Canis lupus familiaris: one gene and its partner. The protein of the gene in region 1 binds, or shares a complex with, the protein of each later gene. Links are inferred from orthologs where the notes say so. Each region holds a gene or a part of one and is shown in the gene's direction. Other genes may lie near its edges. The genes, in order: PDHA1 and PDHB.

What was found.
Region 2: the proteins of PDHA1 (region 1) and PDHB are in contact, whole or in part, in a crystal structure (PDB 3EXE), measured with the Homo sapiens proteins. The link is inferred for Canis lupus familiaris from reciprocal best matches to the Homo sapiens genes PDHA1 and PDHB. Residues at the interface, in NP_000275.1 of Homo sapiens: Ile87, Arg88, Gly89, Phe90, Glu137, Leu138, Thr139, Gly140, Gly148, Lys149, Gly150, Gly151, Met153, His154, Asn164, Gly165, Ile166, Val167, Gly197, Ala198, Asn200, Gln201, Gln203, Gly228, Met229, Gly230, Thr231, Arg235, Ala236, Asp296; in NP_000916.2 of Homo sapiens: Glu59, Gln62, Tyr63, Ala66, Asp84, Pro86, Ile87, Ser88, Glu89, Met111, Phe115, Gln118, Ala152, Gly153, Val154, Ala155, Ala156, Gln157, His158, Pro297, Val323, Arg324, Val325, Thr326, Gly327, Ala328, Asp329, Val330, Met332, Pro333.

What each region holds. Positions count from the first base shown.
Region 1 is NC_049260.1:15,410,863-15,427,007, forward strand, and holds the start of PDHA1 (pyruvate dehydrogenase E1 component subunit alpha, somatic form, mitochondrial), read left to right. Parts: upstream 1-5,184; 5' UTR 5,185-5,307; coding exon 5,308-5,364; intron 5,365-8,660; exon of another isoform or gene 8,661-9,203; intron 9,204-9,632; coding exon 9,633-9,692; intron 9,693-10,472; coding exon 10,473-10,646; intron 10,647-11,416; coding exon 11,417-11,543; intron 11,544-12,231; coding exon 12,232-12,323; intron 12,324-13,534; coding exon 13,535-13,627; intron 13,628-14,459; coding exon 14,460-14,615; intron 14,616-14,790; coding exon 14,791-14,862; intron 14,863-16,145. UniProt on the Homo sapiens protein: The pyruvate dehydrogenase complex catalyzes the overall conversion of pyruvate to acetyl-CoA and CO(2), and thereby links the glycolytic pathway to the tricarboxylic cycle.
Region 2 is NC_049241.1:32,435,104-32,451,380, forward strand, and holds PDHB (pyruvate dehydrogenase E1 component subunit beta, mitochondrial), read left to right. Parts: upstream 1-3,171; 5' UTR 3,172-3,234; coding exon 3,235-3,276; intron 3,277-3,359; coding exon 3,360-3,413; intron 3,414-4,984; coding exon 4,985-5,092; intron 5,093-5,183; coding exon 5,184-5,246; intron 5,247-5,346; coding exon 5,347-5,382; intron 5,383-5,783; coding exon 5,784-6,069; intron 6,070-6,464; coding exon 6,465-6,575; intron 6,576-7,577; coding exon 7,578-7,669; intron 7,670-8,323; coding exon 8,324-8,465; intron 8,466-8,757; coding exon 8,758-8,903; 3' UTR 8,904-9,303; downstream 9,304-16,277. Other genes in the region: PXK (PX domain-containing protein kinase-like protein), read right to left, coding at 11,281-11,498, 12,746-12,778. UniProt on the Homo sapiens protein: The pyruvate dehydrogenase complex catalyzes the overall conversion of pyruvate to acetyl-CoA and CO(2), and thereby links the glycolytic pathway to the tricarboxylic cycle.

The sequences.
Region 1 (16,145 bases):
CAAAGGCACTCTAGTGTTCACTGACTTTTTTCACCTGGGTATATGATCATTCTATTCTAAGTCATTCAAGGGGGTAGACAGCTCGAACCAAGAAAACCAAAGGCATGTAAGGACCATAATTTGCCCCCAAGTTCAGCCAAGCAGAGAGCCAGACATGGGGCTTGATCCCAGAACCTTGAGATCAAGACCTGAGCTGAAGGCAGACGCTTAACCAATTGAGCCACTCAGGTGTTCCTCTTGGCAACTTTCAAATATGCGATACAGCATTATTGACTATAGTTACCATGGAGTACACGACATCCGCAGGATTCACTTATTTTATAACTGAAAGTTTGTACCTTTTGACTCCCTTCACCCACTTCACCCCCACCCCCACCCCTGGCAACCACCAATATGTTCTCTGTATCTATACGCCTGGGTTTTGTTTTTGTTTTTGTCTTTATTTAAATTCCACAGGTAAGTGAGATCATATAGTGTTTGTCTTTCGATGTCTGACTTATTTCACTTAGCATAATGGCCTCCACGTCCATCCATGTTGTCTCAAATGGCACAGTTTCCTTCTTTTTATGGCTGAATAATCTTCCATGTTGCCTGTAGACCACATCTTCTTGATGCACTCGTCCATGGACGGACGCTTAGGTTGTTTCCGTAAATGGCTATTGTACACAATGCCGCAGTGAACATATAGGGGTGTTCGTGTTTTCATTTTCTTCACATAGAAGCCCAGAAGTGGTATTGCTGGATGATCAGGTAGTCCTATTTTTAATTTTTTGATGAACCTCCTTGCTGTCTTCCATGGTAGCTACAACAATTTCTATCCCCACCAAGAGTACACAACAGCTTCCTTTTCTCCACACCTTCCCTAACACATGCTGTTCTTTCTTCTTCTATTTTATTTGGGGAGGGAGGATGAGTGAGCAGGAGAGCACAAGCATTGGAGAGGGAGAAGCAGGCTGCCCATCCAGCAAGGAGCCCGATGCGGGGCTTGATCCCAGGACCCTGGGATCATGACCTGAGCCAAAAGCAGATGCTTAACCACCTGAGCCACCCAGGTGCCCCCATGATTCTTCTCTTTCTTAAGATTTTCTCTTCCTCAGGCCCCTGCCTTTTATTATTATTTCTCCATTTCCCTGGCCTCTCCTCCTCCACAGGCAAGAGTCCTTTGTTACTGTTCTAACACAGATGAGATTACTTTGGCCCATAGGCAATGCCTATGAACTGCAACCTTAGCCTGTCACCACTCATATAATACCTGAATGTCCCTCACCTTCAAGGTCACTTTCAACTCTAGTTTTGAAATTTCGGGCCAAAAAAAAAAAGTGCAAAGAAAATATCCTACTTATTATAAATTGGATTACCTGTTTCTCCATTTTGAATTTACCATTTTATCCTGTGTGATTAGTATCTTGTAGGGAGCTACTTTGAGATTATGCATATGTGTTGTTTGTCATCATACTTGCACCCAGTAGTTTTAGCCTCCAATGAGCCCGAACAATTACTACTGTGGTCTTTGCCAGATGGTGATTCCCTCTCCCCTCCCCCGCTCCATTTCCATCATATTTTCCTCCTCAGTCAATTGGATTTCTACTGTAAGGAAAAGTTGCCTCTTCTCCCCTACTTATTTATTCAATTATGTACATATGTCTGTATGGATTCATGGGGATTTATTTTCTTCAATGGGTTACAATCCACTACTATTGCTATTTATTTTATTGCTCAAATAATAGGGGCTTGGAGTAGGAGGGAGAAGACAAAGAGAAATATAAAGGCTACAGGAATAGCAGATAGAAAAGCAGCCACTGCTCCCCATCAGGGCTGAACAGCACCGAGGAGGAGACCGCTTGTTGGAGGGAGTGTTGCTTGCTGGATGTCAGAGGAGTTCCCTGAGTCACCATCTCTAGAGGAACTGTGTCGTAGGGATGGGGATACTCAGCCAAAGTATTTAAGAGTCATTGTGAGACCCTTTTGCACTCTCTCCTTTCCTGCCACATCGACCACAAAGGTTATGTATTGAAATATCACAGTGTCATCCTGGGTTTTTGAGTGACATCATGGAGAAAGTACCTGGACGATCCATATTGGACATAGACCATGAGTGAAAAATCAACCTCTGTTGTAGTAATCCACTGATTCTTGACGTTAATGTGTTATGGCAACATAGCCTGGTCAGTCTCACTTGACTTGTACAGTGGTCCAAACTTTGAGAAACAATGATGTACACATTTCCCTTCATTATTCTTATAAGATCCTACATCTTAAATCTTTAGAGTGTTTGGGTAGTAATGACATATAGAAGACATAGTATCTGCTTCTTGCAAATATGAAGCAAAGAGCAAAGAACAACTCCCATCTAGTCTGCTACCATCTACGAGTTCCCCCAAAGGAAGCAGAAGCTACCTAGAACTCAAAGAACAAGCACTAAGGGAACTTTTGTGCTCAAATGTGATCAAATGTCCATTCAGCAACCAGACTGGTCTTAAGTGTTCAGTGGAAATGGAAATTAAATCATGGCCACTTCCCAGCTCCTATCCTTGCAATTGCTTCCCATCCCACTCAAAACAAAACTCAGTTTCCTTCCAAAAAAAACAACGATGAAAAATCCCACTAGGGCCCTCCTTTTCTGGTCTCTTTTCTACTTCATTTCTCCTGGTCCTCTGCCTGTTTTATGCCACCAAAGTCACTTGCTCATTTATTCCCACTTCAGGGCATTTGTATTTGTGATCCCTTTGTCTGAAAAGCTCTCCTTGGGATTTTTGCATAGTTTGCTTCCCGAATAAATTCAGGTCTCTGCTTACATGGCCCTCCTCAGAGGAGCCTTTCTGACCCTCCTCCTTATTCTCTATCCTCTTACCCTGTTTAATTTTTTTTCAAACAATCTATTGTTGCTATTATATGTTCATATATTTATATGTACTTGTTATTTACCATTAGACCATAGACTCTGTGAGATAGAGCTTACATTCTACTCGTTCCCTGCTATATCCCCAAAGCCCAGTATAGTACCTGACACAGAATTAGTGCTCAATAAATAGGTGTCAAATGAATGAATGACTTTATGTCCATATGTTCTACATTGCTCTTGGACACACAAATCAGCATCACCCCTGTGCAAATAAGTCCCAAATGTGTATTTCTAGCCACATGTTCCAGATTTACAACTCCACCTTCCTAGGGAACAAAGACAGACAGATAGGTGTTCCACCACCACCTCCAGGCCAACAAGAGGCCATCCAGGCCAGCTGATACTCATGACCCAAATATCTAATCTCTGACCCTTTTCCTTCCTTTTTCTTCACCCTTCACATTCAGTCAGTGGCAGCATGTCACTTCCATCCCTACCTTTTAACGGCCCTGCTCACTCCTTTGTGGAGTGCTCTTCTCACTGTAACCTAGTCATAGAGGTGGAAGGCATCAATAAGGTCTCTCAGTCCAGGCTCCTGATAGTGTTGAAGTCCTTCTTCTAGCCATTCTGACATCTGGTCTTGCTTTGAACTTTTGCTTTGAATACTTTTGGTGACACCTATAAGGAATCATCTCCTGGGACAATTCTCATTTTAGAAAAAAATTGATTGTTATACTCAACCGAAACCATTTTATTCACACATATGCTCACAATAACTTTTCCTCCTGGAACATGACTGGTATGAAAATGTGTAAAGATGTATCTAATCCTCTATGGTTTTACTGTTCAGCCTCTTTTCTGGGTTTCCTCCTGACAGGAGAATTATACTTCAACCTGTTGAACTCAGATACGGTTGTGTGACTAGCTCTGGTTTATGGAAATTGAGAGGACATGACATGTGTCACTTCTGGGTAGAAGCTTTGAGAGCCAGTTTATTTATTTATTTATTTTTTATTTATTTATGACAGTCACAGAGAGAGAAAGGGAGAGAGGCAGAGACACAGGCAGAGGGAGAGGCAGGCTCCATGCACCGGGAGCCTGACGTGGGATTCGATCTCGGGTCTCCAGGATCGCGCCCTGGGCCAAAGGCAGGCGCCAAACCGCTGCGCCACCCAGGGATCCCTATTTATTTATTTTTTTTAAGAGAGAGAGGCAGACACACAGGCAGAGGGAGAAGCAGGCTCCATGCAGGGAGCCTGACGTGGGACTCGATCCGGGGACCCCAGGATCACGCCCTGGGCTGAAGGCGGCGCTAAACTGCTGAGCCACCAGGGCTGCCCTGAGAGCCAGTTTAAATGATCCCTTTGCCTTTTACGGTACAGTAGGTACAGTAAGTTGCTGACAGATGCTATTCCATCAGTTTGAGTGCCAGAGTGAAGATGACATGGAGCAGATCCCAGCCAAGCCGTGAGGGACCTGAAGTGTAAACAAGGTGACTTGAGTCCTTGAGTCGGTTCAAGTTCTTGGAGTTCAAATTGTGGTTTCAGCCTCTCACCATTCTGACCACTGTCCCCTGGATTCCACCCATTTTTGACAACATTCCCCTTACATGGGGACCCCAAATCTGAACCTAGTATCCCAGGTGTAACCCCACTGGCCCACAGTCAGCTCTCTGACCTGGGAACTCACTGAATCGAGCCTAGACTTATTTTTGTGTTTGCTTCTTTGTGTGTGCTTTTATTATCAGCTGTGTCATGCGGCTGTTAACTCCCGTTGAGCTCGCGAACCAGTAACTAGAGCTAAAGGCTTTTCCCAGCTGATCTCTCAATATTTACTTGGGGAATTGATTTTTAGATCGTAACTCAAGTACACAGGGCAGCATTTTACAACTGTTACATGATCTCTTAAAGACAAGTTAGCAGCAGAACCATTTACAGAAACCAGAGGTTCCGTCTCGGCTCCGACCACGCCATGAGTCTTCATCTTGCCGTGCATTGAACGAAGGCTGCCAAAGTGCAGCCCCGGCGAGACTGGGCGCACGGCAGGTGGCCCGTACGGTTTCCCGCCGTGCACGCCTAACCTGAGTCGCAAAACTCCATGAAAAGCCATTTTCCCGCGGGGTTCCGGAGGCGGGGCTCCACTTTCCCAGGCGGACGCCCTCAAGTTCCCGCATCCCCGCCCGCCCGTGACGTGATGACGCAACGAGCCCCCCAGTGCCCGCCCCCTATGGCGCCAACACCCAATGAGCGGCCGCGGACCTCTTCGGTGGGCGGGACACGCAACTGGGAGCCCGCTTGGTTGGCCTGCGGCCTGGCGCGGCGCGTGACGAATTTCCGTTTCGTCGGTCGTGCTGCAGTTAAGGCGTGGCGTCCGCTCCGGGCGCCTGAAGGAGACTTGGGAGATTTCGGGGCCGCGCCGCCTGTGTACTTGGGAGTCGCCTACGCCGCCGCCGCTGCCGGCAATCCATGAGGAAGATGCTCGCCGCTGTCTCCCGCGTGTTGTCGGGCGTCTCCCAGAAGCCGGTGAGGCAGCAGCATGGGCGGCCCGGGGTAGGGCGCGAGCGGGGTCGAGGCGGGGCCCGACGCGGGAGTACGGCCAGGGCTTGGGGGCGCGCGGTGTGGTGCCTCTTAGGGCGCTGCGGAGCGGCCGGAGGGTAGCGGGCCTTTTGTTCTGCCTTCGCGCCTGGCACTCGGCTCCCTGCTCCGGGACTAGCGGCTGCTGGGCCCATCAGCCGCAAAAGGGGGGAGGGGAGCTCTACCAGGTCCACGGGGAGGTCAGCTGTGACTCCCGGCGCTGGCTACAGTAGGTGTGCTCCAGAAATGCCCGTTCATTTACTGCTGACAGAAAAGGGGGCCTGGGGCATCCACGAGTCCCCAGTTGATCCTGCCCATTCATTTGAAGTCTTCCTAATTTTGTTCTTCTTGACTAAGAGGCCACGTGGTGTGTTAAGAACGTGAACTTCAGAAACTGGTCCTGTTCAAACACCTGCCTCACCATTTACTAGCTCTGTGAGCTTAGGCAGGTTTTTGTTTTAAATCTCCCTTGCTCGGTTTCCAGCTCTCTAAAGAGATAATACGAGTATTCACCCCAAGGGGTTGTCCTGAAGCTTAAACTCTTGACATATATGTAAACCTTGCCAAATAGCGCCTGGTATATAGTAGGTGCTATCTGTGTTAGATGTTATTTCAGGGGCACCTGGGTGGCTTAGTGGTTGAGAGTAGGGCTTTGGCTCAGGTAGTGATCCCGGGGTCCTGGGATCAAGTTCCACATCAGGCTCCCCACGGGAAGCCTGCTTCTCCCTCTGCCTATGTCTCTGTCTTTCATGAATAAATAAAATCTTTTTTAAAAATGTTACTTCAGTGCCCCCTTGGGTATACATTTGTGAAACACCTTCACCCAGCTCTGGAGGGTTAAGTCTGGGTCATGCTCACCAGAAATCACCACCCCTCCTTTCCCACAGTGTTGAGTTTTTCTTGGCAGTCACTTCCAAGAGCAGTCAAGCAGAACCCGGAGGAAATTGCCCTTCTTACACGCACACGCTTAGGGTAAAAGTAGCTAAAGAAAACAGCTTTGGTGCTTGGGAGAGTGGGGTTAGAGGTCAGCACTATTTATGGCTCCAGTTTTTAGATGTGCCTCAAGCCTTCCAGCATTTTGACCTCTAGGTATGGGGAGGTAGTATTACTGGGTAGAACTGTAGCCAAGCTTGACTTGCAGTTCAGGTTCTAGTAACTTCCAGGACTTTGTGGCAGTTCTGCTTACTGTGGGCAGAAATCATTGAAAGGTAGGAAGTATACCCTTTTGGGAATCCCATTGACTGAAATAACTACAAAACATAATTGGGGGGAAAAAAAACACAATTTGGTTCATCAGTCATTAGCATTTAATTGCAACTAGATCCACCTAAAGGATAAGCTCATTTCAGTGTTATTTCTGTATATCACATGATAGATCCAACATTTCTTGAGATCTTAATATGTGCCAGATGCTAGGCTATTTAATCTCCACAACTTCAGTTTTTAGTTGAATGTAAGTAATGGAAACACGTGTTCAACTTTATATGAGAATCTTAGTTTTGTATCATGTTAAATTTAAAGGGTTGTAGTAGAAAGGAAAAACTTTGATAGAATTGGTGATGTTCTACAGAAAAAAATTAGTGTATGCGTTTCAAATTACTGTCATCTCTGTGTCCCTAGGAACAGAGAGAAGCCATTAATATTAGAGGCTCATTTGCTCGGCTATCCAAAATATTTCTGGTTGTGTTTTTCAGTCTTCCAGCAATGCGTTGGCATGAAATGCTTCATCTCCATAAAACTTTGGTCTCTTCAAAAAATCATATACTACTGCCCAAATCAAATAGAAATGAATTTTGAGGGCAGCCCAGGTGGCTCAGCGGTTTAGCGCTGCCTTCAGCCCAGGGCCTGATCCTGGAGACCTGGGATCGAGTCCCACGTCAGGCTCCCTGCATGGAGCCTGATTCTCCCTCTGCCTGTGTCTCTGCCTGCCTCTTTCTCTCTCTCTCTCCCCCCTCACCCCCCTCTCGAATAAATAAATATTTTTAAAAAAATGAATTTTGAGTTCTAGTAATTTGTTAACTGGATAAGATCAGAGTAGAATATAACTTCATTTAGTCAAAAATTGTTATTGAGAGAAAAGATTATTACAGCGGAAATGGATTCCTATGTATAACATTTCTTCTATTTAATTAGTTTTTTTAAAAATAACCATTAGAGAGATGCCTGGGTGGCTCAGCAGTTGAGCTTCCACCTTCAGCTCAGGGCGTGATCCCAGAGTACCGGGATTGAGTCCCACATTGGGCTTCCTGCATGGAGCCTGCTTCTCCCTCTGCCTATGTCTCTTGCCTCTCTGTCTCTGTCTCTGTGTCTCTAATGAATAAATAAATAAAATCTTAAAATAAAAACGATTAGAGACAGTGACAGTACAACATTTTCCCTTACGTTCTCTAAGATATTAAACACCTACTTTATACAATGAGTTTTTTGAAAGACAAATTCCTTAAACTTATTTGTATCACCTGTGCTTAGAAAGTGGTTGTTTCTGTCTTGATGGGAGTAACATCTGGTATGCTTACTTATTTTTAAAGACACTTTTGCAAATCAAAGTGTCAAACCCAGAATGGGAACTTGGCAATCTGTGGAATAAGAAACTTACCCAGTTCATGACGGTTTCAAGTGTGTTTCCTTTCATCTAACAATGATTTTTTAGCATTAAGAAGTACAGGTTCAAAAAAGTATTGGTCTCTGATGATTTTAAAACAAACACTTTGAACACTCTAAGTAGCGTAGCCTGTGTTAACACAACTGAAACCTGATAAATAAGCACATTAGATCCAAGAGCCTGAAGTGCACTGAGCACTCTGGGGACATCTCATCAATAATTACAGTTTATGGAAACACTGATTACCTGATTTGCTCTGTTGCAAGGATAGGGAGCTATTAAACTGGGTTTGGGCCCACAGACACACATAATCTACAGTTAACAGATAATTCTTCAAAGTATTTTTCTGTGCCTTAGTATAATTAATGCCATATATGCAGGCAATAGGTAAAACAAAATAGCCAGAAAGAGGGGTGGCTCAAAGTAAGGAGCACTCTTTCACTGTCTAATATATAGTCTGTCATTGTTGGTTTCAACTTTAAGATCTTCTCAGTGGGTTTGGTCTCTACTTTTATTAAGTTTTTTTGAATTCCAGTTGACATACATTGTAATTTCAGGTGTACAATACAGTGTTTCAACAAGGTCTTTAGTTTTATTTATTTATTTAAATATTTTATTTATTCATGAGAGACATAGAGGCAGAGACACAGGCAGAGGAGAAGCAGGCTCCATGCAGGGAGCCCAATGTGGGACTCAATCCCGGTACTCTGGGGTCACGCCCTGAGCCGAAGGCAGACGCTTAAGCGATGAGCCACCCAGGCGTCCCATTATGTCAGTTTATAATCAGTGTTTGAAAACATGGCACAATGTGACAGTACAGTAATTGTAATTGGTTAAGTGTTTTGCGGTCTAATCTGGACCTTAGCTGTCACGTAGAGTACCTCTGTTGTGAGCAGGTATTTTCAATTGAAAGAGTGACAGAGACATTTCCCCAGCTTTTTACCACCCAAGCGATAGCAGCCACCCAAACATCAAGAAGGGAAAGCTGGTTGCAGAGAATCTCTCTCCCTTCTGAGGCTTCTGGAGGAGCCTGTCCAAGATCTGAGCTGTTCAAATTATACAATGTCCGTAGAGTCCATTGAGTATCTTTCTTTTGTCTTCTAGATTTCTCACTAACACATGTCTCGTACCTTGAGTAGTTTAAAATATTTTTCTTATGGAGCCATTTCATAGAGTAGTGGTTTGCCTGAAATAGGAATTGGATCATAGTTTTATATGAAGAATAATTCTGACAGTTTGTTCAATGTCTGGTTATGACTGCAAATAGCAGAAATAAAGCCCACAGGCTATCTAGGCTATCTCTTTAATTTGGCCACTAAATTTATTCTATTTTCACTGTAATTTCTTTGGAAACAAAATGCCCAAAAGGATGGGTTTGATTTTGCCTCCCTTTCTCTTTTTGCTGTTACCCTTCAGAGGTGGGTATGATCATGGTTCATTGGCCAGAACATGGATTCATTTTGAAGGCAAGATCCCAACACCGTAAAGAGAATGGAGGGATAGACCCGTGAATATGTTGGGGCTTAGGAAAATTCCAGGATTGCATTCTGAGAACTGATTTATAATACCTGACAATAAAACATACTGATATATTTGTATATTTTGGTCTTTCAAGGCAAGCAGAGTGTTGGTGGCCTCCCGTAATTTTGCAAATGATGCTACATTTGAAATTAAGGTAAGAGGTGTTTTGCTTTGTGTTAATAATTTTTCCACAGGTAAACATATTTACACAGTTTTACCTTTGGAATAGAACATTTTGATATTCATGCTTTTTCACCATTTTATTCTAAATGTTCTAGTGTCAGAGGTTCAAAAAAGTTTAGCAAAAATTAGAATTCACTCAGCAGCTTGCTGTGTTTCGGGGAGGGGACAGGGTATGGGCTAAAACAAAGACTTAATCTAAAATTTAGAATGTGTTTCAGTAAAACATTTCAATAAGAAGTTTCTTTGGGGTGCCTGGGTAGTGGTGAGTTGATTGGCTTCCTTTGGCTCAGGTCATGACCCAGGGGTCCATTGGGCTCCCTGCTCAGAGGGGAGTCGCTTCTTCCTCTCCCTCTGCCCCTTTCCCAGCTCATTCTCTCTCTCTCTCTCTCTCTCTCATAAATAAATAAATAAATAAATAAATAAATAAATAAATAAATAAATAAATAAATAAATAAAAATCAATCTTAAAATTTTCTTAGACTATTCCTTTCAAAGTTTGTCTTTCAGCCTGTAACTCCTTTGACTTCCATGGGTTTTCAGTGAAAGTCATCTTAGATTTCTTGCCTCCAAAACTAGATCCTCTCACATAATGAGCTTTATGATGAAAGGAGTCAGAAGTAATATGCAGCATTTCTTATGTGCTCCTCTGCTGGTTTTTGAGTTAAATATTACTGCAATAAGATATTAGATCTCTAAGTGGGTAGTCAGTGTTTACATTGCAGTAGCTGGAAGTTAACTGATTCCATTTCAGAAATGCGATCTTCACCGGCTAGAAGAGGGCCCTCCCGTCACCACAGTGCTCACCAGGGAGGATGGGCTCAGGTACTATAGGATGATGCAGACTGTTCGCCGAATGGAGTTAAAGGCAGATCAGCTGTATAAACAGAAAATTATTCGTGGTTTCTGTCACTTGTGTGATGGTCAGGTGAGTGGTGGTTTTGTAATAAAACAATGTTAGATGTAGGAGTTTAAGTATGGTTTGTATTTATTGGTTTTTACCCTGCCTTATGCCTCTGAAGGATTTGAGGCCTGCCTGTCAGAATAAAGATGAGCATGCTGAGGCCCGCTACTAAGCTCATACTAAAGAATTCATGCACACGTCCCATTGCTGGTGTCTTGCACCTTGATGACTTTGTGATCACCTATAGTGCATATACTCATGGGGGAAAGGGTTTTTCACTTTGTGTTTTGTTTTGTGGGTTTAGGCCAAGGGTTACGAATTAAAATGCCTATGGGGACCAGCTGGGTAGAATAAATTAGTGAAGAAAGTGGGACTGGTAGTGAACTGGATGAAGTGGGCCAGGCCCTTCCCACTAGGGGACACCATAATTTGGTTCCAGCCAGTTGGTGCCATATGGAAATACAGGGTTAATGCTTCCTGTTGGTCCTTCAAGAGAGGACAGAAGTGTTGATTTTCATATGAAATTCCCCTAATATTAATGTTCCCCCCAAAGTAACATTTAATATTCAGGATTTTTCTCCAAATCACTGCATGGGCTTGAAATAGTACATCTATGGATTATTAATTTGTAGCTTCTGGCTTGAGCTTTACCTTCTATTCTGTTTGCAGTGAAAAATCAAGCTCCTTTTGTGCTTATTAAGAGTTCTACTAGGCTAAATTTTCATAATAGTCTAAGGATTTTGTCTAGAAATGTGTATTGTATTGATTCATTGCTGCTTCTTCCTTTTATGCAGGAAGCTTGTTGTGTGGGCCTGGAGGCTGGCATAAATCCCACAGACCATCTTATCACAGCCTATCGGGCTCATGGCTTTACCTTTACTCGTGGCCTTTCTGTCAGAGAAATTCTCGCAGAGCTTACAGGTTTGCTATTGATTTTTCAAAAAGGGGAAATCAGTGAAATAAATTTGCAGATCTCTCATATTAAGATGCTATTACAACTTAATTAAAACGGTTTTGAGTTAAAAAAAAATCTCTCTCTTTGGGTTCTCTGTTACCTCTGTTGTGCTTTTGAGTAAACTTACCATTTTTGAGGTCATTTGGCCTTTAGGTAAAAGTTTTAAAATGTTAGCTTCGTAAAATCATAATACTGTTTGTCACTCAAGCATGCCAGTAGAAATTAGCAGTCATAGAAAGTAAGTGGAGCAGGAGTATTTCATTGTATGCAATTTAAATTCTAGGAAGCTTTTTAATATTCCCTTTGTCCCCCTTGACTCTTGAACTGTTCAGTGTACCAATGTAGGATAAATCGGAAGATGTTTGTAACTAGCGCCAAAAAAAGGCGGGGGGGCCGGGGTACCATGCTGATGTTTAAAGGAAACCCCATGGTCAAGGAGCTGGGAAGGTCAAAGACATTGGCCTGGATTGACCTTCATTCAAGGACTGGGAGATAAGGGTGGAGTATATATTTGCCTAGAGGGATGGGTGCTTATAGAGTTGAACTAGCCTGTGAGTTCTAGTGGTTGATGAGCCTCTAAGTAGATACTTGGGGTGTGGTTTTCTTTTGTTTATTTGCTTTCTGATGTGTATGTGCACATGCTGCCATTTGTAGGACGAAGAGGAGGTTGTGCTAAAGGAAAAGGTGGATCGATGCATATGTATGCCAAGAACTTCTATGGGGGTAATGGCATTGTTGGAGCTCAGGTAATCCATGACAAGGATGAGGGGATTGCATGCTTTCCTAGATCTGGCCCTGGATCATGTCTTAATGTTTCATCCCCCAGAGAACTTCCCTCTGAAATATTTTAGTACTTTGGAGGCTGAGTGGACTTTAAAAGACCTATTGCTTCATAGCCTACCATTTTATCAGTTAATAAATAGATTTGAATAGTGATATTTTTTTTAATTTTTTTATTTATTTATGATAGTCACAGAGAGAGAGAGGCAGAGACATAGGCAGAGGGAGAAGCAGGCTCCATGCACCGGGAGCCTGATGGGGGATTCGATCCCAGATCTCCAGGATCGCGCCCTGGGCCAAAGGCAGGTGCCAAACCGCTGCGCCACCCAGGGATCCCTGGATAGTGATTTAAAATTCTCTTAGGTGTTTAGTTTTATATGTAAGCAAGAGCCCCTAGCAGCGGCCTATACCTTTATTATGTTTAAGTACATTGATTGCTTTGTCACATCCGCTTAGGCCTTCCTCTCCCTGCTGTAGACTGCGGTTGAGGGTATCTGAGGAGGAAAGGCAGGTGATCAGGATCTTAGGGGCCACATTAGACATCACTTCAGCTTTTGTGGTTATGTAGTCCTTTTTGTTCTCATCAGTTAGTGAATAATGAAGTATCAGCCTGGGTGTGATATGTAAGTGATGAATCACTAAATTCTCCTCCTGAAACCAATATGATGCTCTGTTAATTAACTAGAATTTGGGGGATCACTGGTCGCTCAGTGGTTTAGCACCTGTCTTTGGCCCAGGGCATGATCCTGGAGACCCGGGATTGAGTCCCACATCGAGCTCCCTGCAGAGAGCCTGCTTCTCCCTCTGCCTGTGTTTCTCTCTGTCTCTCATGAATAAATAAATAAAATCTTAAAAAAACTCAAAGAAGTAACAACATAAAATTATAACTGGATTGTTTGGCTCACTTTGTAATGTGACTTTGCTGTATGTTAAAAAACAGTTTCATATTTTAGCTCTTTAGTCATTGAATCTTTACAGAAGTGTTATTTAATGGTTGAAATAGAAGAATTATTCATGTTGCTTTACCAGTTTGATTATAATTTTGGGGGTAGGGTAGAGAGTTTCTAGTGACAGTGTAATTTCTGTTTTAAGTTCTGGTGAGAACTTGAAATGCAGAGCATTAATTTCTCCCCTCATGGATTTCTGTGGTTCTTTTCTTGGTTGTCCTTAATATTAGGTGCCCTTGGGAGCAGGAATTGCTTTGGCCTGTAAGTATAATGGAAAGGATGAGGTCTGTTTGACTTTATATGGCGATGGTGCTGCTAATCAGGTGAGTATGTGTCTCTTGACTTTGCAATAACCATTGCAGTTTTATCTCCAAAGTGTTTAGTCAGAGTTCATTTGTAGCGAAGTAGTCTATTGCCTAGTAGTTGAAGTAGTCATATTGGGGCAAGCTAGAATTTGGTTTTATGGCCAGATTACAGGTATACTTTGTGGCACGTTGCACAAGTGCTTAATACGGGCACACACCCAGGAAGAAGCTCTCCTCTGCCTCCAGCTCAGTGCTTCACACCCTGTGGGTGAAGGACCTTTTTCCAATTTAACCCAGTGCAGACTTGTTCTTATACCAATCCTGTAATGTACAGACTCATTCTCTTGGAGAGCATGGCATTGGCTCATGGTTTCTGAGCCCTGGCTCTTTCTATACTTTTCCTGTCACGGTCGGAGTCCTCACCATTCCACAGACAACACTCTGAGGCCCTGCTCCGGATGCTGATTCTCAGTCATTGGTTCACTCTGGTTGTCCAGTGGGTCTCCTAGGATTTATAACAAAGCATAAAACTAGGTAGTCACAAAGTTTTACATGTTTCTCTTTTCCTACTATATTCTACACCACTGCCTTGGCCCCACCGAAACAAGTGGTGGAATTTATTTGGTTTGTCACTTCCTTCGGTTGCAAAAAGAGATGATGCTTGCCGTTTCTTCCTCCCTCACCAACACACTCCTTTGCCTCAAAAGCTCCGCTGTGGAAGGTGAAGGAAGCTTTTCATGTTTTATGAAAGGTCTCGTGCCAGGAAGAGCAGCAGCTTTTGGGGACAATGAAGAAGTCTAGAGAAAAGTAGCAAAATGAAACTACTTGAACTGTTTATACATACTTCCAGGGTCAGATATTTGAAGCTTACAACATGGCAGCTTTGTGGAAATTGCCGTGTATCTTCATCTGTGAGAATAACCGCTACGGAATGGGAACGTCTGTTGAGAGAGCAGCAGCCAGCACTGATTACTACAAGAGAGGCGACTTCATTCCTGGGCTGCGGGTAAGGGCGCCTGGTGTGCAGCCGGGACTACCCCTTCGCAGCGTGATAGCTCTGTGTGGGTCCTTGACAGTCCCAGACACACACAGGCGTTCTCTGTTCATAGCGTGTGAACGGGTCCTGTAAAATTGGTTTGACACGGTTTGATTTATGCTCTGCCCTTTCCGTGTATGAACAGGTAGATGGAATGGATATCTTGTGTGTCCGGGAGGCAACAAGGTTTGCAGCCGCCTACTGTAGATCTGGAAAGGTAAGACTCAACCCTCTGGGCTAGAGATGTCCATTGACATTTATCTTAAAAGAATGTCTCCCATGTGTCTATTGTAGCTCTTCAGGGGTTGCTGGTAATTAGTTGTGTAGAAGGCAGGAGCAGAGTCCAGTGAATTGGGTCCCTTTGTAAATACTGTGGTCTTGATAGCTTACCTCTTAGGAAACATCCCACATTGCCCCTGTTTGGGGTGAATCTTTCCTCTTGAGTGCTTCCTCAGCATTTTGCCTTGTGGTTTGGTTATTTTTATTTATGCGCCTCCAACCTCTACCCACCCACCCCCACCTGCCACCCTGTTAATCATAATAAGCCCCTTGAGTGAGCATATTGGGGACCCCCCTCCCAGTGCTCAGCACAGAACTTTGCTGGGATAATAGGCATTTTGTGTAAGCTCATCTTCCATAATTTAAATATTACGGTTAAAGTATGTAATCTTCACCTTGCTGTTTCAGTCCTGAGAATCTGGACCTTTCAGGTAGAGCAGTAGAGGGAGAAGGGAACAGTGAGGTTGGCTTAGATGCCAGCAGAGCAAGTGGAAAGGATGATGTTCTCCCTGAATTGGTGTTCACAGCCCAGAAAGCATGCCCCTAGGGTTTACCTTTCCATGACACCCCTGTGTGGGAAGACTGGGCTACCAGTGATGCAAATGGAGAACGAGGGTGGAGCAGGGAGGGAAATGTGGGGGGGTGCTGCACATGAGAACAGAGGAATGAAATCAAGTATGGCTGAGGTGGCAGAGAGCTCAGCAGTCTACGTCGGGACTCCAAGACTAGAGAGGTATAGACTTGAGCGGTGGATATCATTCCCCTCTTCCCCAGTTCCTGAAAGAACATGTGGAATACAAACTTAACGTGGAAATAGGATCACTGGTTTATAGTGTTGACTTTATTTTATAATTTTATATATACTGGTTTATATGTGTTGACTTTCTCAGCCTCATCTTGGAATTAGGGGAGAGTCTAGAAACCCCCTTAGCCTAGCCCACTGTTGTTTTCCAATAGCTCCTGGGTGGCGCAGAACAGAAAAATAGGTGAAAAATAAATCCTTATTGAGGGATTGACCTGGGTCAGGTGATGCAGTAAGCACTTATGTGTGAACCAACACAACCCCTGAGTTAGGTCCCTCATCTGTACAATAACTAAGGCACAGAGCAGTTTAAGGGTACGTAGCTACTATACATGACAGCCCAGATTGGATCCCAGGCTCTTGGACTGAGAGCTGGGCCTCTCCCTTTGCACCCCACCCCCAACTACTACACCACACTG
Region 2 (16,277 bases), on another chromosome or scaffold:
GGTATTTGTGAACTAATGTTCATAGCAGCATTATTCACAAATCTAAACATTGAAAACAACCAAGAGGTCCATCAACAGAAAAATGGATAAACAAAATGGGATATATGCATACAATGGACTATTACTTAACCTTAGAAAGGAATGAAATTCTTTTTTTTTTTTTAAGATTGTATTTATTTATTCATGAGAGACACAGAGAGAGAGAGAGAGAGAGAGAGAGAGAGAGAGGCAGAGACACAGGCAGAGGGAGAAGCAGGCTCCACGCAGGGAGCCTGATATGGGACTCAATACCCGGGTCTCCAGGATCACACCCTGGGCTGAAGGTAGCATTAAACCGCTGAGCCACCGGGGCTGCCCAGGAATGAAATTCTGATACATGCTACAATATGGATGATCCTCCAAGACATTACAATAACTGAAACAAGCTAGTCACACTCACTCACACACACAAATACTGTATGATTTCACTTACATGAGGTAGAGCAGTCCAATTTATACAGATGGAATGGTCATTGCCAGGGCTTAGCGGAAGGCGGAAATGGAGAGTTACTGTTTAATGAATAGTTTCCTTTTGGGAAAATGAAAAGGTTCAGGAGGGGTACCTAGCTGTAGAGCCACCTGTAGAGCGTGCAACTTACGATCTCAGGATCATGCCTGATCCTTATCCTAAATTCATGCCCCACACTGGGTGTAGAGATTATTTAAAAGTAAAAAGAAAAGAGAGAAAGTTCTGGAAATGGATAGTGGTGGTGATTGAACAACAATATGCACATATTAAATGCCAATGAACTATATGCTTAAAGTGGTAAATTTTATGTGATATATATTTTACCACAATAAAAACCAATCTAATTAGAATACGAACAAAAGAACAGACACTTCATCAAGGATGGATGGCAGAAAAGCATATGAAAAGATGTTTAATAATTAACCATTAGAGAAATGTAAATTAAAGTCATGAGGGACACTGCTACACATGTATTACAATGGCTAAAATAGAAAATATTGATAATATCACACACTGGCAAGCATTTAGTGCAACTGGATGTCTCATACTTTGCTGGAGGTCATGTAAAATGGTATAGCCACTCTGGGGCAGCCTGGGTGGCTCAGTGGTTTAGCGCCGCCTTCGGCCCAGGGTGTGATCCTGGAGACCCGGGATCAGTCCCATGTCGGGCTCCCTGCGTGGAGCCTGCTTCTCCCTCTGCCTGTGTCTCTGCCTCTCTGTGTCTCTCATGAACAAATAAAATCTTAAAAAAAAAAAATAGTATAGCCACCGTGGAAAAACACTCCAATATAATCATACTGCTCGGTATTTACCTGAAGAAATGAAAACTAATGTTTAAAAAGCCAGTGTTCATTGCAGGTTTATTGGTAATAGCTAAAACTGGATACAAACCAAATGTCCTTCAAGGAGTGAATGGATAAACATGCAACCACTTAGAGATATAAAGAAACGTTGATACACGCAACAACTGGAATGGATTTCAAGAGCATTAGGCTGAGTGGAAATAGCTAATCTCCAAGAGTTACATATTGTACGATTCTGTGTTGAAATATTCTTGAAATAACAAATTATAGTGATTGAGAACAGATTAGTGGTTGCCAGGAGTTAGGGGTGGAGGAGGTAACAATGAGGTAACAGGAGGGAGGTGCTTTGTGGGGATGGAACAATTCTGTATTCTGGCTGTGGTAGTAGTTATGTGAATCTGTACGTCTAATACAATTCTATAATACTACACTCCTCCTACCCCTGCCAGAATGCATATAAAAACTGATGAATGGGGGATCCCTGGGTGGCGCAGCGGTTTGGCGCCTGCCTTTGGCCCAGGGCGTGATCCTGGAGACCCGGGATCGAGTCCCACGTCGGGCTCCCTGCATGGAGCCTGCTTCTCCCTCTGCCTGTGTCTCTGCCCCTCTCTCTCTCTCTCTCTGTGACTATCATAAATAAATTTAAAAAAAAAAACTGATGAATGCTGTATAAAGTCTCTACCCGAGTTAAGAGCATTGCACCGTTATCAATTTGGGGGATTTGACAATGTACTATGGTCATCCAAGATATTGGGCAAAGATAGTTGAAGGTCACATGGATGCTCTTTGCACCAGTTTCACAATTTCTTGTGACACTTAAACTCTTTCAAAAGAAAAGAAAAGAAAAGAAAACTTAAAGAAAGAAAGGAGGGGTGCCTGGCTGGCTCAGAAGAGCATGGGACTCTTGATCCCAGGGTCATGAGTTTAAGCCCCAGGTTGGGCATAAAGAATATAAAAGAAAAAAAAAAAAAAAAGAAAAGGAATAAAGTATTGATACACTTAACGACATGGATGAATCACAAAAACATGTTGCTGAGCGAGACGCAAGAATGATAGAATTCCCTTTACGTCAAGTTCTAAAACAGGCAAATTAAGTTACGGTGATGGCGATCAGATCTGTGGTTGCCTGTGGGGTGATGTGTGGGGAACGATCGGGAGGAAACGTTGAGGGAACTTTCTGAGGTGGTGGGGGAATGTGCATTTTACTGTGGTCGAGGAAGCGAAAAGCTCTCTTTAACACATTTCGCTTGAAATGACCAACCAAAAAACAAAAAAAAAGATTGAAAATTCTGGATGAAGGACTTTCTGACGACTGACAACCCGAAGTGACTTGAGGAAAAGTGGAGGTAACAGTCATCACGCGGGAGGGTTCCTGTGAGAATTACAGGAGCTGGACAGCACTTACTACGATGCCCGGCACACAGTAGGCGCTTCATGCCTCGATGAACACTCCGGTTCGCATTCCAGGGAGCAACAGACGGACAGCACGGTCCGGCCCGGGGACCACCGGGCTCGTTCAGAGCGTGCGCAGGCGACACTTGGCGCCCTACGGGTTTCAGTGCCCGCAAAAGGCTGACCCAACTCTGAAGGTCCCCGCAGCCTCAACCTAACGTTCCTCAGAACCTGCCTTCCGGGCACCGCGCCTCAGGCAGCACCGCTTACAGACGCGTCCCGCCGCGCAGCGCGCACCGCAGCAGCCGCCCGCTCCCGGGAAGTTGATTGGCCCCGGCCCCAGAAACAGCGGTAGTACCGCCCCACGCGCCACCTAGGCCCCGCCCCTCGGCCCCTCACCCGGCAGCGGATGGGCGGGGCACGCAGGCGCCGCGCGCTGCCATTGGCCTGAGCTGGCGCGGGAGGCGGAGCCTGAGGCGACTGCGGTCCTGCGGTGTTGTCATTCGGCGGCGGCTGGAGGACACGGTCAAGATGGCGGCGGTGTCTGGCCTGATGCGGAGACCCCTGGAACAGGTAGGCAGCGGCATGCGTGCCTCCGCGTGGTCTCTGCCCGCCTTGCGCCCCCTCTCAGCGTCCTCTCTCTCTCTTTTCGCCAGGTGTCGGGGTTGCTGAGGAGGCGCTTCCACCGGACGGCGCCGGCGGCGCTGCAGGTAGGTGGCCTGGGCGCTAGCCCGAATCCCGGGAGGGACGCGCCTGCGCCGTGGGGACAGGGACGGCACGGGCCCTGAGGTCCACGGGTTCCCACATCCTGCGTGGGACTCCGAGTGCCTCTGTTGCGACCCAGCGCCGGACACACCAGCAAGTCGCCCCGGCCAGGCTCACTGGAATCTGTGGGCGATCTGAGGAAACTAGACCTCGCGCTTCCTCCCTCAACCGCCCCATTTACATTTTTCAAGTAGAATATACATAACCAGATTTACCATTTTAAAGTGTATATTCAGCGGCAGTACTTCCGTTTACTATGTTGTGAGACCATGACCACCATCGGTCTTCAGAACTTTATCACCATCACACACAGAAACTCTCCACCCCTTAAACACGAACGTCCCATTTCCCTCTTGCTCCCGGTAACCTCTTTGGCACTTTCTGTGCCTTTGAATTTATCTATTCTAGGTGTGTCCTGGAAATGGAATCCTGCAGTGTTTGTCCTTTTATATCCGGTTTATTTCACTTAACATATGTTTTCAAGGTTCATTCATGTTGTAGCATGTGTCAGAATTTCATTTCTTTGTTTAAGGTTGAATAATATTCCATCTTATGCATATATCACATCTTGTTCCTCCATTCTGTCTGTTGATGGACATGTGGGTGTTTTCACCTTTGGGATTTGTGAATAATGCTGCTAAGAACACTGGTGTGCAAGTATCTGAGTCCCTGCTTTTATTTCTTTTGATCATCTCTAGAAGTGGAATTGTTGGATCATATAGTAGTTCTGTGTTCAACTTGAGGAATTTCCTACCCCGTACCCCCTCCTTTTTTTCTTTTTTCTTTTTTTTAACTAGAGGACTCTCAATCTGTCTAGTAAAATAACTTGTAGATTCTGAAGGTAGTGTTTGGAAGTTCCCAGTACCTAGTGAGTGCTCAAAACATAGTTTTATTTAGGCTTTCTTAACAGTTTTCTGTCCCATACTACACTGACTGTGGAAATAAAACAACTGAATAGAATTTTTACTCAGGAAACTTGAGCTGGTCTGGCCAGCAAACAGCTTTTGTTAAGTTTAGGTGCACATTAAGAAAAGCATTCAGTATTTTCATTAACAAATTCAGCCAAAGACTGTGTATGAAAATGTTACTTTTAGAATTCTTTGAACTTTTTTTTTTTTTTTTAGAGATTTATTTGAGAGAGAGAGAGAAGGGGCACAAGCAGGGGGCAGAGATAGAGGGAAAGGGAGAAGCCGATTCCCTGCTGACCCTGCTGAGCAGAGAGCCCACTGCAGGGCTCAATCCCAGGATCCCGGGATCATGTCCTGAGCTGAATGCAGATGCTTAACCAACTGAGCCACCCAGGTGCCCTCCCCTCACCTTTTATTTTCATTTTTTTAAAGATTTTATTTATTTATTTGAGGGGGGGATTCTTTGAACTTTTAAAGAGAAGCCTGTCCTAGCGATAGTTTTCATACCGTATGCTGTAGGCAGCCTAGTAATTATAAAAGGAGAGAATCTCAGTAGTATCTGAAATAATCCTGTAGCTTATTGGCTGTTTTCCCCATACCTGTGACAGGTGACAGTTCGTGAGGCTATAAACCAAGGTATGGATGAAGAGCTGGAAAGAGATGAGAAGGTATTTCTCCTTGGGGAAGAAGTTGCCCAGTATGATGGTGCATATAAGGTAACCCAAGATATGTGAAAGCGATATAAATTGAGGTGGCTGTTTGCCCCCATATACACTTAAAAGTAATGAGATCATTGTGTAATTTTAGGTTAGTCGAGGCCTGTGGAAGAAATATGGCGATAAGAGAATCATAGATACTCCCATATCTGAGGTGAGCCTTCCATCAGGACGCAGACTTTTCAGGGGCATGTTAAAGTGTACACTGTTCTGATTTTTATGGATTTTCACTTGTGTTTGTGTTTTACTTCTAGATGGGCTTTGCTGGAATTGCTGTGGGTGCAGCTATGGTGTGTAATCCTCTTTATGAATCTCATCTAAAGAGATTTTTTTTTAATAATTAAAAAAATTTTTTTTGTATTTTTTATTGGAGTTTGATTTGCCAACATATAGTATAACACCCAGTGCTCATCCCGTCAAGTGCCCCCCTCAGTGCCCATCACCCAGTCACCCCATCCCCCCACCCACCTGCCCACCTCCCCTTCCACCACCCCTTGCTGGTTTCCCAGAGTTAGGAGTCTCTCATGTTCTGTCACCCTCTCTGATACTTCCCACTCATTTTCTCTCCTTTCCCCTTTAATCCTAAAGAGATTTCTTTTAACATGACCTTTTAAAAACATTGAAGTTTGGAGTGGTTGCCACTTTTTATTGCTTTTTAGTTTTTCTAAGATCTCTGTTTTTTATTTGACAGGCTGGGTTGAGGCCCATCTGTGAATTTATGACCTTCAATTTCTCTATGCAAGCCATTGACCAAGTTATAAATTCAGCTGCCAAGACCTACTACATGTCGGGGGGCCTTCAGCCTGTGCCTATAGTCTTCAGGGGGCCCAATGGTGCCTCAGCAGGTGTGGCTGCCCAACACTCACAGTGCTTTGCTGCCTGGTATGGGCACTGCCCAGGCTTAAAGGTGGTCAGCCCCTGGAATTCAGAGGATGCAAAAGGACTTATTAAATCAGCCATTCGGGATAATAATCCAGGTCAGTAGAGTGAGCCTTGGGTCTCTTTTGAACATTGAGGAACTAAGTTGAAATCTTTGCCTGGAAGGAAGCCGTTTAAGGGTTCTAGTTAGGCTTAGACATATAAAATGTTATGATTTACAGATACAGCAAAGACCATTAAAAAGGTGTTGTTTTTGCTTTTCTGACTATATGGGGCCTATTAGGTACCTACAACACCATTTTAACTACAATAGATAAAATTAGGACTGACCAGACTATAGATGCCAGTACCTAAACCATCCTCTCAGGGCTACTGGACACAATAGATAGGAGGCTTCCTAATCTGCACAGTGAAACTTTGCACAAAATGAATGATAGTTATGTATATACATTTGGTCATGTAGTTAGTTCTGTTAAACATTTGTATTTTGTAGTGGTGGTGCTAGAGAACGAACTGATGTATGGAGTTCCTTTTGAATTTCCCTCCGAAGCTCAGTCAAAAGATTTTCTGATTCCCATTGGAAAAGCCAAAATAGAAAGGCAAGGTAAGAGCACTTAGTACATGCTAAAGTATTTGTAATCTAGCTCCTGTATTTATGTTTGTCAAATTCTTTTTTTTTTTTTTTTTCCAAGAAGTGTGGGAGGGCCAGAGGGAGAGAGAATCTTAAGCAACCTCCATGCCCAGCAGGGAGCCCAACCCAGGCTCAGTCTTTTTTTTTTTTTTTTCCAGGCTCAGTCTTAACAATCTTCATGACCCGAGCTGAAATCAAAAGTCAGACACTTAAGTGAGCCACCCAGGCACCCTGGTCGAACGATTCATTCTTGAAGTTCCTGCCCTTTACTTTGGTTAGGAAATTATCAAGTTAAGAAATCCATCATGTTGGGGATCCCTGGGTGGCTCAGTGGTTTAGCGCCTGCCTTTGGCCCAGGGCGCGGTCCTGGAGTCCCGGGATCCAGTCCCGTGTTGGGCTCCCGGTAGGGAGCCTGCTTCTCCCTCCTCCTGTGTCTCTGCCTCTCTCTCTCTCTCTCTCTATGCCTATCATAAATAAATAAATAAATCTTTAAAAAAAAAGAAAAGAAAAGAAAAGAAATCCATCATGTTGAGGCACCTGGGTGGCTCAGTTAGTTAAGTGTCCAGCTGTTGGTTTGGCTCAGGTCATGATCTCAGGGTCCTGGGATCAAGCCCCATGTCAGGCTCTGCACTCAGCATGGAGGGTGCTGAAAATGATCTCCCTCTCTCTCTTTCTCTCTCTCCCTGTGCTCCTCACATGCTCCTGCTCTCGCACACATGTGCTCTCTCCTCCTCTCAAATAAAATCTTGAGAAAAAAGAAATGAAGAAATGTGTTACACTTTCCTCATAAACTTTTGTGCTTTCCTGATTCTCAGTCCAGTAGATTTGTATTTCATTTTTAGGAAGGCTATCACATTCCTCACCTCACTGGAACAGAGTTGAATTTTATAAATGAACAAGAGCCACAATGGCTGTGGAGCAGTACAACAGCTTTAGTTTCAACCTGGTCTCTGACCTGTGACCACTCTGTTTCAGGTACACACATAACTGTAGTTGCTCATTCAAGACCTGTGGGCCACTGCTTAGAAGCTGCAACAGTGTTATCCAAAGAGGGTATTGAATGTGAGGTATGTAGACATTCACTTCTTAAAGAATCAGAAAGTTTCCTTTTAAATTTAAGACCCAGAAATAGGAGTTTGAATTCTGTAACAGGTTAATAACTAAGTGTAAAATCTTGCTTTGTCACTCACTTTTGCTTAAAGCTGGGAACCTTCTTGCTTTTCAAATACCTATTTTTAGAATAGTACTTACTTTCTCAAGCTGGGATCCAGCCTTGGAGCTAGAGGTTGGGACACAGGGAATCTTAGAAATCAGTGTCTAACCTTTTCATGTCCAGGACCTACCACTTGCTAGTTAAACTTGGGCAAGATCTGTCCTCTGAATCTCAGCTGCATCAGCTGGAAACTGAGAATACCTTTACTGTCCCATTAGGGTGGTTGTTACACTCAGTGTAGCACCTGGCACACAGTGACCAGTCAGTTGTTAGTTGTTTTGATGAGAAGGAAGTTAAAGCCCAGGAGGTTAAGTGAATTCTTAACCACTTGTGAAAGATTTTTGTTTTAATTACCATTTCCCATTTTACATTTTGTTCTTGAATAGGCAGATTTGATTTTCCTAGACTCTGAGATTAACAGGAAACAAAACAGGGCGTGGTATTATGGGGATGAGACTATACTTGTGGTGCAGTGGCTCTATAAAGCATATCTGTATTATCTGTTTAGGTGATAAATATGCGAACCATCAGACCAATGGACATTGAAACAATAGAAGCCAGTGTCATGAAGACCAATCATCTCATAACTGTGGAAGGAGGCTGGCCACAGTTTGGAGTAGGAGCTGAAATTTGTGCCAGGATTATGGAAGGTATTTCAGAGAACCTGGTTCTAGAATACTCAAGCTGTAATAAACAGTGTATACCGGGACACTGTATAGAGAGCAAAAGCTAGGGGTGGCCAAAAGTCTTAACTTTTCAATTTCACCTTGGCATTTTTTCCTTTGGGTAAAATTTTTTTTAAAAAAGCCAGATACAATCCCCATAATTAGTATATTCCTTCAGGTTTTCTCTCCTTGGAGAGCCATACCTCCTGTGGGAAGGTGCTGGTGTTCAGTGACTTTTTTTTTTTGCTTCTCTCAGTTGAGCCTCCTTCTCTCCTAGGCCCTGCATTCAATTTCCTGGATGCTCCTGCAGTTCGTGTCACTGGTGCTGATGTCCCTATGCCTTATGCAAAGATTCTAGAAGACAACTCTGTACCTCAAGTTAAAGACATCATATTTGCAATAAAGAAAACATTAAATATCTAGTTTGGACTTGAATTTCAAGTCATTGGGATTTACTTAAAATACTTTCTGACAGTTCACCTGAATTGTACTGTAAGACCTTATGATTCATAAAGCTATCTCTAAAGCAACATCACAGATGTTTTTGTACTTGGAAGAAGTTTAAATGTGCTTGTATGTGGAAAAACTCTCCTCTCCTGCCCTAGACTCCATGGGGGGGGGGGGGGGGTTGGTCTGTTACAGTTATGTTCTTTGAATAAGGCTAACTTAAAATTTTACCCTTTCACAAGGACAAGGTCTGAACATGGCAGAGTTCTGCAGAAAGACATATCCAAAAAGATAACTTGTATGTAAAGATAAAAGCTATTATCTACATTTGCTGTTTGATTGTTTTGATAAGGAATAAAAGAATTCCTAAGTATGACTAATTGTATTTTTATATTCTTGAGGTAATAAATCTGGGGTGGGTGGAGGTCTTAAAATTCTGCTAAGAATTTCTATTAAGAAATGAGCGATGCTGGGCAGCCCCGGTGGCATAGCCGTTTAGCGCCACCTGCAGCCCGGGGCGTGATCCTGGAGACACGGGATTGAGTCCCACATCGGGCTTCCTGCATGGAGCCCGCTTCTCCCTCTGCCTGTGTCTCTGCCTGTGTGTCTCTCTCTCTCTCTCTCTAAATGAATAAATAAATAAATCTGAAAGAAAGAAAGAAAGAAAGAAAGAAAGAAAGAAAGAAAGAAAGAAAGAAAGAAAGAAAGAAAGAAAGAAAGAAAGAAAGAAAGAAAGAAAGAAAGAAAGAAAGAAAGAAAGAAAGAAAGAAAGAAGAGAAAGAAGAAAGAAAAGAAAGAGAAAGAAGAAAGAAAGAAAGAAAAGAAAGAAGGAAAGAAAGAAAGAAGAAAGAAAAAAGAAAGAAAGAAAGAAAAAGAAAAAGAGATTAATGATGCTAAATCACCTGAACTGCCATCACATTTATAACTAACTTGTCCACAGACTCTTCAAATGCCCAATTGTAATAGGGTTCCCTCAAAATTAAATGAAAATTTGTATCAGGTATTTTTCCCACTGCTGAAAAAGAGATATGCTGCCATATGCTGCCCTCTTTAGAAGTTGAGACAGAAAAGATAGATTTAAATTAGTTACAGAAGCATATGAGGGGATGTCTAATTTAAATGGCAAGACAGGATTGTTAGCTTTTAGTTAATTAAGAGGGAAAATATGACACAAAAGAGACATAGGATAGGTGGGAAGGAAACCAGAAATATTGTGTGGATCTATTCTTTGTTTATAAGAATTCCCACTTAAAATGCCTAGCACCAAGCTACAGACAACATACTTTCTTGACATGGTTTATTTTAATAAAAAATACAGCTGAACATTTATCACAGATTAAATGAAACTATACACAATGACATTCTCTCTGCATAGTAACCAACACTGATGTGTGTACTTGAATTTTTAAATGGATTATTTATAATCCTTTAAAGTGCAATTTATTTAAGGGTTTAAGCAAATCATAGGATAAAGGATCTAATAAATGAGTAACATTAAAAAGATGATATATTTGGATAAACCTTTCAAAAAATCAGAATTGATTTTTATGAACGCCAAATTTACTTGTGTGGTAATAATAACCCCCCATAAACCACAAACTTGACTTTATTGCTGAGGATGAAGATCCTTTAATCAGCAAGAGCTTTTTCTGATATTAACATTTCCTGTCCAATACACTCTAACTAAAAGGAACTATGAGTCTAGAGTGGTTGCCTTCGCAGCCCTGAGTTCTATAACCACAATGGTATTCTTGTTAGAACCTAGAGAGGTTCCAGGCTTGACTTGCCCCTGACTATCTGAATGGAAAAGGAAGAACTCAGTTGCTTCTCTCACTCCTCGACATAACTATGCTTTGGACTACAGTGTTAATAATGTCGAAGACAAAATAAGGTAGCAAAAATGGGAGTTACCTAAGAAATAACCAGAAAATGCTTTATAGAGAAATGAGAGGAACATTTCTGGGAGCTGTCTGACATAAAAGGAGGGATTGCAACACAAAGGTCATTCACTGTTCTGAATATTGTCATTGGTTTTTTTGTCCGTTTCCTTCAATTGGTGAAAAGGTTGACTCAGATATGCTGCTGCCCCCAAAAGATGCCCATTAGAAGATGAATAAGACTCCTTTAAAATGGTAATAAAGGAGCAAAATAAGGATTTCTTAAGGCAGAAATGCCAGCCTGACTTCATTCTACTTGAATATTTCCCTCTTGAGAAGCCTCTTATATGAGCATCTGAAAACAGTATGTGACTGTACTGGCTCAGCAATTATTCATCCGAAAAAAGAGTACGTTAGGGGTTGGAGGTGGGAGGAAAAAACAACGAACTTTTCCCTCCAAGTGTAAACACGAAGCTTTAGCCGATCTTAGGAGCACTATGATCACAGGTTTCGGCTTTCCTCAAAGTTCCCTTTTGGAAATTCTGGATGGAGCTGAGTAAGGCCCCTCGACTCACACCATTCACAGCCTGGGGCGGGAGCTGTGTAGGCGCCTCTGTGCTCGCAGGAAGCAAGGGAGCTGCTGGTGGTGGAGGCGGAGGCGGAGGTGGAGGAGGTGGAGGTAATGCGGACATCCCTAGGTTTGGGAGAAAGGGGACAGTCAGATTCATCTCTCCAAACACCCTGCACACATGTTACTGCCCAGGCCTGGATGGAACACGCTTTGATGAGACTGCAAATATTTTCCCACAGAGGGACCAAGAAAACCTGGTCCTGTATGTTTTTTTAAAATGCTGAACAAGAAAACTAGAAGCATCAAAGAGGAATTAATTTCCCCAGATAACAGTCAACTAAGACTGAATATCAAAGATTACATGAAACTATACATAGTGACATTCTCTCCGTTCTCCGTGTAAATGAGGCTCTAACTCCATTTCCAAATTTTAGCGATGATCCCAAAGTTCCATCAGCTGTTTTAGGCAGGTCCAGGGCACCTACTGAGCTAGCAAGTAAAAATAGACATTTGTATGCAGAGTTGGGCTACCTGAATATCAATTACTGATAAAGGATGAACATTTCTTTAGCTGCTCCAACACACACAACATTTGAAGGACGTGATTTAATAGAAAATGACAAACCACTCAGAATTCTCGGCAAGGAACCAGTGCCTGCTGGGTTAAGGGTTCCCCAAGGGCCTGTGTCTCCAATCATCATTTTCTATTAGGCTGCATTAGAAATATAATAGGCTAATAACTGTTAACAGTGCAAAGCAAGGGGCAGAAGGCTCTTTTCCCTGGCAATGGTATTCTCAGGGATGAGTCTTCATCAGCACCTTCTTTCCACTGCGGCCTAAACCAGGAACAGAATGGAACGGTAATAACCCTACGTCTTTGCTGAAGCCATCAGGAGAGACTCTACCCTGGTGGGTGAGGAGAAGGAATCTGGACACGTATCTAAAACTTAGCTTCCAGGCACATGAACACTTGGCAGTTGACATTTATAGTTCTGAATAGATGAATGAATTATTCTCCTAGGACAAGATAAAAACTGAGTACAGCAAAAGACCTGCTTTAAAGAACTTGCTTGTGCCACAGAGTTAGCTGCCCCATTTCCTGTGAACCTTGCAGCACTTGGTGACTCCCCTGTTTCTAGCCTTGCCCTTGGTCCATCCCAGGGCTACCCTAGCGAGACACTCTGTTAGGTGTTCTTCCCCTCCAACCTGCTACTGAGCTGTGATGGTAACAAGTAAGCATACCATTACCACTTGAGTTTATATGGACGAGTGGTTCAGGATCACCAATAAAATACTTCGCTAAGAGATCCTTTTTACCAAGTGTGCCACATAATGGTTCAAAGTCTTGTATTTCATAGAAAACCACTTACCTTCGTTACATCTTTTACTAAAACCGAAGGCAGCTGAAATTAAAGAATCACACAGATACACACATTCATGCTCTGCAATCTTAGAATTCTCAAAAATGAAAATATAATATGAATAAACGTTAAATACAAACAAATGAACAAAATGTAATTCTCACTGGTTCTATACAGTAACAACAAATGAATGATGTTCTGTTATGTTCTCTGCCAGGATGTCTCCTGGAAAAATGTTCCCAGCTTCATGTTACAAGGTTACGAAGATAAAAAAGACTTTAAACCCATAATAACTGCTGAGGTGAGAAGAGCAGGGAGGATAAGTGTGCTAGAAGCATTCCTCTGAGGGAGTTTTTGGAAAGTGGCCAGTGAAATCCCAGTGGGGGTGGGGGTGTGTCTCTGAAGGCTCTTGGGACCTAGCAGTAGCACCAAGAGTGCCCCCGAGGAGCCAGCAGGCTCCGATACCCCACCACCCAACAGCCAACAAAGGACAGTAGAATCTGCACTTGACACACAGGGCCCACTGTGTTCCAGAATGGGCTCCAGAATTTCTGCCTGTCAGCTTTGTGCTTTGACCGTGGAGAAGAGTCACTGCAGGTAACAAGAAAGAAGACAAGCTCTGGGCTACGACAGCACTTGCACCCTGCTAAAGGCAGAGAGTGACCTGTCCAGAGACCTGTCACCCTTCCAGTCCAGGATTCTGGAAGGCTAGGGGTGGGTCTCAGCAGCTGGACCTGGATTTCGGCTGCCTCTTGGCACAGAACAAATCTGCTTGGACTTCGCAAGGAGCCAACCCTCGACTTTGGCTTCATTATCAGCCACTCAAAATTAAAAGTGCAAATTGACTCTCTCAGAGCTTGGAGTTGGGGGTGGTGTTCAGTACATGGATCTTGAGTTTCCAAGTAAAGGATGAGATTGTTAGGACTTTAAATGAATCTCTTTGAATATGTAGGTAGTGTAAATAAACACACGGTCCCAAGCATCACAGAGTAACTTGTGCTTATAAAGCAAATGAGATGTCGAGGTTGTACAAAAGGAGAGGCTGCTCATTCAGGGATAAGGAGCAAGGTCACCCTGACATCTGCTCAGAGGGCCAGACCAGACCCAGAGGGCCTAACTGTCCCACAAGGCCCACTCTTCCTCACTGGGCCTGCGGACAACTAGGGCAGATCTTGATGTATAATCAGGGCAAGGCCAAATCTCATCTTGCCAGCTCAGAACACTCTAGAAGAGGGAAGGAGGTCCCCGAGTTAGAAGGTCAGTAATGGAGGAAGTAAGAACACAGACCCAAGGATTCAGCCTCTGATGACAGGCCCCACCAGGGTTTTTTTGGCATTTTCTTTTTACTTCCTCTATAGTCCACAAGATTCCTTTAAAGGTTCGTTGGGGCTTAAGCTACAACACATTCTACCAGTTGCAATATTGATATGGGTCAAATTCAGAGCTGGCTATTTGGTCTGAGGTGGACCTGGGAAAAGCTGCCTAATGCCTGAGTGCCACTGACTCATCCCCCACCAAGTACCCAATAGTCCTTATCCGCAGGCCACAGACAAGATCAGGCAGATTCCATGTAACATCAGTTGCTAACTAACTAGAATTTAAGTAAAAATTTGAAGGGGAAAAAAAAAGCTTGGTTGTCAACTGAATTCACCCATCTTTGAAAAATATTGGCCTGCTCCCAAATAGTTCTCTTCCATCATAACTACTCTTATAGACAAAAATCCCAAAAGCCAACTACTTTTATCCTCCCCAGAATCCCATCCACCAAACTAGTGAGAACCTGGCAATACAGTAGAGGCCCTGGAACAGACCACAGACTGTTCCAGAAGAACATAGGTTAGATCTAGGGTGGAATACTTGGCCAGAAACATCTTCACCAGCCTCGGGGAAAGGATGTCTGGGGGGAGGTCCCCTCTGGGGCCAGTTTTAGCAGTGGGCAATCTATAGGTCTCTGTAGATCACGAGTTCCTTTGTGGTCCACGAATAGAAGTAGGGAGACCACGTGGCCATGAGACCAAGACCAGAGCTGCTAGCCACCCTCAGAGGGAACAGAGTACAGTGACCCCTGGAAGCAGACAGCCCTCCCAGCTCTTGGCAACTGCCTTGGTATTTTGCCTCAGATAGATGAGGAGGCTGCCCTCATGTCTGAACTCAAGAGTTATTAGGGATGCTTAAAAGAGAGCTGTTTTTCCCTGCTGTCAGTTATAAAATGTCAGTGAGTTGTCTTCCTGTAACTAAGAACTGAGTTGTCAATCGGCTAACACTCTTTCCCTTCATCAGAGTAATAGCAAACCAATATTTTTGCTCCATCAAGACTCTGAGATCCTACCTTCCCAAATTAAAACATAACAAAATACCATGCAGTTGATTTGCAGGTTTTAGAGTTGTATTTTAAAACTATAATCAGAGTGGAAATGAGGATTTTGAAGGTCACGGTGAAAATGAAATGAATGTAAATGAAGTCACTTGAGTGTTTTTAAAGATGCTGTATTTCATTTAAATGTTCAAATAAGGAAATCCTCCCAAATCTGCTTTCCCATTTGTTCATCACTTCAGTGATCTAGATGCACTGGGTCCCATTTCACAGCCAGAAACAGAGCATCTTTAAAGTTAGAGAAATCAGTATAGCTTACTTTACCGAAAATTCACGTTCAAAATGGTGCATGCTCTACTGAAAACAGCAAAGAGAGAAAGAGAGAGAGAGGGGACACAAGTCATTATTCAGATTTTAGTGTCATTTAATCAAATAGTAAGAGACAGCAAAATATTAGTCTGAATCACATGCTGATTATTCTCACTAACAAACTAGGATACACTTCACTGCAAAATGCACTGCTATGTCAGCACATCTGTGACCCTTTTAGAATTCGGCAAATGTGCTAACACAGGAACCAAAGAGTCAATATGCTGATAGAGTTGCCAGGGAGTCACTTTCCTCTTCATACTTTTCTGTTTTGTTTTGTTTCAGAGCCATTTAGGTGCTATTTTTTTATCTGTTTATAAGCACAACACTCACTTCAAAAGACCTGGGAAAGTTTTTAAAGCCCCCCTGAGAAGTGGAATACTAGAAGCATAATTAGTTCTATAGCTTAATAAAAACAGTCAAGAAGGGAGAAAAATTAGAACTCACCACTTTTTCCCAATTGAGTCTTCTATAGTCTAAAATGGAGATCTGTCTTTTTAAAGTTGGGAAAAGCAAGAGCACAGGGTAGGTCTAAGGGGTAGCTCCTGGGCAGGGGCAAGCAGCCCCTCTTTGACGGCCACTGGGATCTACAGGCTGAGTTGGGGAGTGAGTGACATTGCTTATTTATGGCTATAAAACCATTAAAAAGAAAATAAGCAGGGCAAACACTTCTTGTCTTCCCTTTAACTGACTGGATTCTAAGTTAAATGTGAAGGATAACGCTTCTCCGGACAATGTATCCCAGAGTTCCTGATGAACCAACGTGCCCTACTGCCCAGAGGAAAACCGTTTCATCTGGGGAGGGGCCAAGAAATGAGGCTCAGGAGGGGCCAGGCAGGCTGACCACTCACTTGGGAC